Saccharomyces cerevisiae S288C: one gene and its partner. The protein of the gene in region 1 binds, or shares a complex with, the protein of each later gene. Each region holds a gene or a part of one and is shown on either strand. Other genes may lie near its edges. A codon is read from its position in the direction of its gene.

Region 1 (4,483 bases):
TGTTCTGAATCTCCCCTAATCGCCTCAGCCTCTCCTTCGGTATTTGAGGCCCACAATTATCTGCGGCTTCGATGCCCTTGTTGCTGATGACATTTTCATTCGTTGCAGTGATAATTGAATTATTTGAAAGTAGCAAATTTCTTTGGGTTAAACTAAGACCTTCTAAAGATGGGTCTAGTTGCAGGGGTAAGTGACATGTTTGGCACTTCATTTTAATGCCCGTGTCTGGGAGTCTTTGCGAAAACAGTGACTGCCATAAAACGTAACTGAACTACCTAATGTGCTCCCATAGCACTACCCTTTTACTTCTATGAGAGCAAAATCCCCAGGCGGGTGACACTTAAGTACTACTAATGAAGGTAAAAGGACTATGTAATTCGATTATACCACCAGTCCATACTTCCCGATAGTTGATTTAAAATACACCTGGTTCGAACTATTTCTCTCTTAGTTGACACTTTATATACCAACTTTCTATATGAAAGTGATCATTTTACTATAGGATTAGCCGCGGAAAAAGTATTAGCCGCCCAAACTTCTATGTACCTTCCGCATAAATAGGAAAGAAAACAAGAAACTTGAACTTAAAATACTTCCACATCACAAGTATACTTTCCAGGAAAAGCACCAAATTACAGTTATCTAATAGTAATGCACAATCAGGAAGAGTGGCTAGACAAGGACAAAACTTTGGTGAACGAAGAAGAAAATACTTGCATCAACCATTCTTATACAAAAAAGGACACTAATAACTATCGGGTCGGTAAAAGCGGTATTAAGGACTTGAAGAAGCCTACGAACCAGAAGGAAATTGCGATAAAAAATAGGGAGTTAACGAAACAACTTACTCTTCTCAGGCAAGAAAATAATCACTTACAGCAGGCTTGTAAAATTCTCAGCGAAAACAAGATCATTGAGAACAGAAAATCCATAGAAAAATGGAGGACAATTTGTGAGATGGAACTGTCTTTTATTTTAAATTCCACTTTAATCAAAATCAATAGAATGGGCGGCTATAAAGATTTTCTAGAAAAAGAAATGGAGGCTAAAAAGAGAAGATTGGAATATCAGATTGACAACGGTATGGAAGATCAAATCTGTGAAATAAAGGAAAGTGATGACTTTAGACAACTTTCAGAAGTTGAGAAACAAGAGTGGGAGAGTCAAATGAATGAACAGCTGAAAGAGTTGGAAAAAAAAAAAATAGCGGAGCTGGAAAAATTGAATAAGGTGCTGCATGATAGCGAAGGGAAAGATTTTGGAATGGCTGAACTATGCACTAGGTTAAAACTTGACTACAGCTTAATCTTTCCACAATGAAAAATGCGTAAAACGTTTATTCATCTTGCATTTCTATTAGGTACGCGATTACTGAAAAAACGAATGTATTTTTTTGTTGTAGCGCAAATTACGCACCATCATATATTCACATATAACCTAACTTCATCGTCAGAATACAATACTAGTAACTTAGCATTAAAAGCCACCATCAAAGGGAAGAAGTGAACAATATAATGAGTGACTATTCCCTGAAGCATTCGGTCACTCAGTATTTGGAAGAAATTCCTCAACAAGTTCAAAATAGGCTTTATACCTCACCAGCTACATGTCTGGCTATCTATAGAATTTTACCACCACTAGCTAAATTTTTTATCATGGCAATGGTTTTCAACGAAAATGAAGTACCTTTGTTGGATTTAGATAAATGGGTTAACTCTAATGGTAAATTGCAGTTTCAGAATGCAATCAAATCGATGAAGTCTTTGCATCTTCTTATACCAAATAAATCATCTGGTACTTTGATGATCAACCTAAACCCAACATTCAAAATCAGCCTGAGGAACGCATTAACGGGTGGGGAAGTTCAAAACTCATTCGGTGTGGTTGTAGAGGAAAACGTAGTTAGCCTGGACTTGTTGGATGAATATTCAGCTAATAAATGGGAAACAATATTACATTTCATGGTTGGCACTCCCCTCGCTAAAATCCCATCTGAAAAAGTACTGAACCTTTTAAAACACAGTAAACTAATGGAAGAGGTAAACTCTACTGGAGAGTTCAAAATCACTAATGAAGGCTTCCAATTTCTTTTACAAGAAATCAACTCCCAATTATGGACATTATTATTGCAATATTTAAAAATGATCGAAACGTCCAAAATGGATTTAGTCGATGTTTTACATTTTATTTTCATGTTAGGCGCATTGGAAGTTGGCAAAGCCTATAAAATCGATGCATTAAGCGAAACACAAAGAATTATGTTACAAGATATGCGAGACTATGGTTTGGTATTCCAGAAGCATTCAAATGATAGCATTTTTTATCCAACAAAATTAGCTTTGATGCTGACTTCCGATACCAAGACAATCAGATCTGCCTCCAATGCGATGGATAGTGTACTGAGACAGAATAGAGAAGAGCCGTCAGTAAATGAAGACGGCGCCAACGGGAAATCCACAACAGATATCACTACATCAGATGATTTGAACAAAGCAGGTCTAAAAAATCAAGATATACCCGATGGCTCATTGATTGTAGAAACAAATTTCAAAATCTATTCATATTCTAATTCACCTCTGCAAATTGCTGTTTTGTCTCTTTTTGTTCATTTAAAGGCAAGATTTGTGAATATGGTATTGGGTCAAATAACAAGGGAATCCATAAGAAGAGCATTGACCAATGGTATCACTGCCGACCAAATCATTGCCTATCTGGAGACACATGCACATCCTCAAATGAGAAGGTTGGCAGAAGAGAAACTAGAAAAAAAATTAGAGCTGGACCCCAACTGTAAGGAGCCTTTACAAGTTTTGCCTCCTACCGTCGTAGATCAAATCAGATTATGGCAATTAGAGTTAGATAGAGTCATTACATATGAAGGTTCCTTATATTCTGATTTTGAGACTAGTCAAGAATACAACTTACTAAGTAAGTACGCTCAAGATATCGGTGTTTTGTTGTGGAAAGACGACAAAAAGAAGAAATTTTTCATCTCAAAGGAAGGTAATTCTCAAGTACTTGATTTCGCTAAAAGAAAGTTGAAAAAGAAACAATAAGTATATATACATATATATGCCCCTACATATCAATGCATTCAACGTAACAATTGCGCTAACACACGCGTCTTTCTTGCGCAGTAATTGTTTTCCTTTTTCATTCTTTCTTCTTTTGCATCTCTATCAACAAAATTTCGGTATCTAAGCTTTTCCTAAAATATCCCTTAAATGCAAACCTATCGAAAAGTAGGGGAACTACCGAATTTATAATTAACGCTTCAACTTTCGACCTATTGCAAGGCCAACTATTTAAGATATTTCAAACTAAAGTACTGTGTCAATGTTACTGAAAAACTTACACAGTCTCTTACAACTACCAATTTTTTCGAATGGAGCAGATAAGGGTATAGAACCAAACTGCCCTATAAACATTCCATTATCATGTTCCAATAAAACTGATATAGACAACTCGTGTTGTTTTGAATATCCAGGTGGAATATTTTTACAAACCCAATTCTGGAATTACTTTCCAAGCAAAAACGATTTAAATGAAACTGAATTAGTGAAGGAGTTAGGGCCTCTAGATTCATTTACAATTCACGGATTATGGCCAGATAATTGTCATGGTGGCTACCAACAATTCTGTAATAGGTCCTTACAAATTGACGATGTTTACTACTTATTGCATGACAAGAAATTTAATAATAATGATACATCCCTGCAAATATCGGGCGAAAAGCTGCTTGAATACCTAGACTTATATTGGAAGAGTAATAACGGGAATCATGAGTCCTTATGGATACACGAGTTTAATAAACATGGCACGTGCATTAGCACAATTAGACCAGAGTGCTATACTGAGTGGGGTGCTAATAGTGTTGACAGAAAAAGAGCGGTCTATGATTATTTTAGAATAACTTATAATCTATTCAAGAAATTGGACACATTTTCAACACTAGAAAAAAATAATATTGTCCCAAGTGTGGACAATTCCTATTCTTTGGAGCAGATAGAGGCAGCACTAAGTAAAGAGTTTGAAGGAAAAAAAGTCTTCATAGGCTGTGATAGACATAATTCCTTAAACGAAGTATGGTATTATAACCACTTGAAGGGTTCCCTTTTGAGCGAAATGTTTGTGCCCATGGACTCACTTGCCATTCGAACAAATTGTAAAAAAGATGGTATTAAGTTTTTTCCAAAAGGTTATGTCCCAACTTTCAGGAGGAGACCTAATAAGGGAGCAAGATACAGAGGAGTCGTTCGTCTATCAAATATTAATAATGGAGATCAGATGCAAGGCTTTCTAATCAAGAATGGACACTGGATGAGTCAAGGTACACCAGCGAATTACGAGTTGATTAAATCTCCCTATGGGAATTACTACTTGAGAACTAACCAAGGGTTTTGTGACATTATTTCGTCTTCATCTAATGAATTGGTCTGCAAATTCAGGAACATTAAGGATGCAGGTCAATTCGATTTTGATC
Region 2 (2,618 bases), on another chromosome or scaffold:
TTTTTTCCCGTATAATTCCAATATATCAGCGCATCTTGCTGATATTTTCTGTTCTATAACAATTTAATAAGGGCTGACAAACAAAAGTAATCACTTCGACAAGTACAAAATGGGTCTATTTAATAACTTCAAGTTTAAATATACAAGGGCGCAACTGGAGATCTTTAGATTTTCATTTTGTTTGCTAGCACCTGTTGCTGTAATGTACTATATTGGTACAGATACTGATAAAAAATTAAATGTTCCAGGGTTTTGGCCAGATCCTGCAACGTTGAACCAAATACCAAAAGAGCCTTATGAGATTAAAGCTGAACTGGCAAGGATGAAAAAAGAACGTTTAGAGAAAAGGCTTAGGTTGGAGAAAAAGATACAAGAGGAGTTTGGTTTAGACCTTGAGGAGGAAAAAGAAAAAATTAAACGGGATTTGGCTCTCAAAAAAGGATGAGAAAAGAAAACGGTTAAAGATGTATACTTGCACCTGACCACTTTTTCTTCCTTATATTTATTATTCTAACATGTACATACCTGTATAGTCGTATTTCCACTAGATCATCACTTCCCCTCTATATTCATGTCTGACCTGGTTATGCAGGTCATGCTCTATTCAAATAGTATTGAAAAAGCTGAATGAGCAATAATTACTGATTTTCTTCTTCATCCATAGGATTATATATATTCTTAGATAATAGCCTATTTAGCTCATGCTTAACAAATTCGACTTTCGAGGGATTTACTAAAAGATGGGTGTCATCCAACTCCTCTAGTACTATATCACTCATCTTGGCGTCAATTTGTAATATGAGCGCCTTGATGGATGGATCACATTGAACCAGTGCACCCTTTCTTGCTCTAGCCATTTTTTCGTTCTTTTACAAAAGTATCTTGGCTTTGTCTCTATTGGGAGTACACTTCTATCTTACTGCAGTTTGCTCGTCTTTTTTCAATAATACGATACAAAAGAAAAATTAAAAGGGCTATTGAGACTGTTGTAAAATATATATGCAAAATAAAAAAGCATTTTAACGAAGAGTATATACCTACTATTAGACATTAATGACTACAGATAATCATCAGAATGATTCTGTTTTGGATCAACAATCAGGCGAACGAACAATTGATGAGAGTAATTCCATCTCTGACGAGAATAATGTTGATAATAAGAGGGAAGACGTTAATGTAACTTCACCAACAAAAAGTGTTAGTTGCATATCACAAGCGGAAAATGGAGTAGCTTCTCGAACAGATGAGAGTACAATAACAGGAAGTGCGACGGATGCAGAAACAGGTGATGATGATGATGATGATGATGATGACGATGATGAAGATGAGGATGACGAAGATGAGCCCCCCTTATTGAAGTACACACGAATTAGTCAACTCCCGAAGAACTTTTTTCAACGAGACTCGATCTCTTCATGTTTATTTGGTGATACTTTTTTTGCATTTGGTACACACTCAGGCATTCTACACTTAACTACATGCGCGTTCGAACCCATTAAAACCATCAAATGCCATAGATCTTCGATACTTTGTATTAACACTGACGGAAAATATTTTGCTACGGGATCTATTGACGGGACAGTGATTATCGGATCGATGGATGATCCACAAAACATTACACAATACGATTTCAAAAGACCTATAAACTCTGTAGCGTTGCACTCAAATTTTCAAGCATCCAGAATGTTTGTTTCTGGTGGAATGGCTGGCGACGTTGTACTATCTCAGAGAAATTGGCTAGGAAATAGAATCGACATCGTTTTAAACAAGAAGAAAAAGAAAAAAACAAGAAAAGATGACCTATCCTCTGATATGAAGGGCCCTATCATGGGAATTTATACTATGGGTGACCTTATATTATGGATGGATGATGATGGAATAACATTTTGCGATGTTCCTACAAGATCACAGCTTTTGAATATTCCATTCCCCTCCAGAATTTTTAACGTACAGGATGTAAGGCCAGATCTATTTAGACCCCATGTTCATTTTTTAGAAAGTGATCGTGTCGTTATCGGATGGGGATCTAATATTTGGCTATTTAAAGTTTCCTTTACCAAGGATTCAAATTCGATCAAATCCGGTGACTCTAATTCTCAAAGTAATAATATGAGTCATTTTAACCCTACGACAAACATCGGATCTCTCTTGTCTAGTGCTGCATCGAGTTTTAGAGGGACACCTGATAAGAAAGTTGAATTAGAATGCCATTTTACTGTGTCAATGTTGATTACAGGGCTTGCATCGTTTAAGGATGATCAGTTATTATGCCTAGGTTTTGATATAGATATTGAAGAGGAAGCAACCATAGATGAAGATATGAAGGAGGGGAAGAATTTTAGCAAGCGGCCAGAAAACTTATTAGCCAAAGGGAATGCTCCAGAATTAAAAATTGTTGATCTTTTTAATGGTGATGAAATCTATAATGATGAAGTTATCATGAAAAACTATGAAAAATTGTCTATAAATGATTATCACCTCGGTAAACATATAGATAAAACAACACCAGAATACTATTTGATAAGTTCCAACGATGCCATCAGGGTTCAAGAGTTATCATTGAAGGATCATTTCGATTGGTTTATGGAAAGAAAGCAATATTATAAAGCTTGGAAAAT

What was found. Proteins that work in one complex are often made in the same cells at the same time.
Region 2: the proteins of TFB2 (region 1) and TFB5 are in contact, whole or in part, in a crystal structure (PDB 3DGP), measured with the Saccharomyces cerevisiae proteins. Residues at the interface, in NP_015203.1 of Saccharomyces cerevisiae: Glu447 (codon at 2,853), Leu448 (codon at 2,856), Arg450 (codon at 2,862), Val451 (codon at 2,865), Ile452 (codon at 2,868), Thr453 (codon at 2,871), Tyr454 (codon at 2,874), Glu455 (codon at 2,877), Gly456 (codon at 2,880), Ser457 (codon at 2,883), Leu458 (codon at 2,886), Tyr459 (codon at 2,889), Ser460 (codon at 2,892), Asp461 (codon at 2,895), Phe462 (codon at 2,898), Glu467 (codon at 2,913), Leu482 (codon at 2,958), Trp483 (codon at 2,961), Asp485 (codon at 2,967), Lys488 (codon at 2,976), Lys490 (codon at 2,982), Phe492 (codon at 2,988); in NP_076886.3 of Saccharomyces cerevisiae: Ala2 (codon at 854), Arg3 (codon at 851), Ala4 (codon at 848), Arg5 (codon at 845), Lys6 (codon at 842), Gly7 (codon at 839), Ala8 (codon at 836), Leu9 (codon at 833), Val10 (codon at 830), Gln11 (codon at 827), Cys12 (codon at 824), Asp13 (codon at 821), Ile16 (codon at 812), Glu33 (codon at 761), Glu34 (codon at 758), Leu35 (codon at 755), Asp36 (codon at 752), His39 (codon at 743), Leu41 (codon at 737), Val47 (codon at 719), Lys51 (codon at 707), Leu54 (codon at 698), Asn55 (codon at 695), Leu58 (codon at 686).

The regions. Positions count from the first base shown.
Region 1 is NC_001148.4:317,799-322,281, reverse strand, and holds TFB2 (TFIIH/NER complex subunit TFB2), read left to right. Parts: upstream 1-1,514; coding exon 1,515-3,056; downstream 3,057-4,483. Other genes in the region: VPS30 (beclin 1), read right to left, coding at 1-211; MEI5 (Mei5p), read left to right, coding at 652-1,320; RNY1 (ribonuclease T2), read left to right, coding at 3,337-4,483. UniProt on the Saccharomyces cerevisiae protein: Component of the general transcription and DNA repair factor IIH (TFIIH) core complex, which is involved in general and transcription-coupled nucleotide excision repair (NER) of damaged DNA and, when complexed to TFIIK, in RNA transcription by RNA polymerase II.
Region 2 is NC_001136.10:602,955-605,572, forward strand, and holds TFB5 (TFIIH complex subunit TFB5), read right to left. Parts: upstream 858-2,618; coding exon 639-857; downstream 1-638. Other genes in the region: PET100 (Pet100p), read left to right, coding at 110-445; VPS41 (Vps41p), read left to right, coding at 1,054-2,618. UniProt on the Saccharomyces cerevisiae protein: Component of the general transcription and DNA repair factor IIH (TFIIH) core complex, which is involved in general and transcription-coupled nucleotide excision repair (NER) of damaged DNA and, when complexed to TFIIK, in RNA transcription by RNA polymerase II.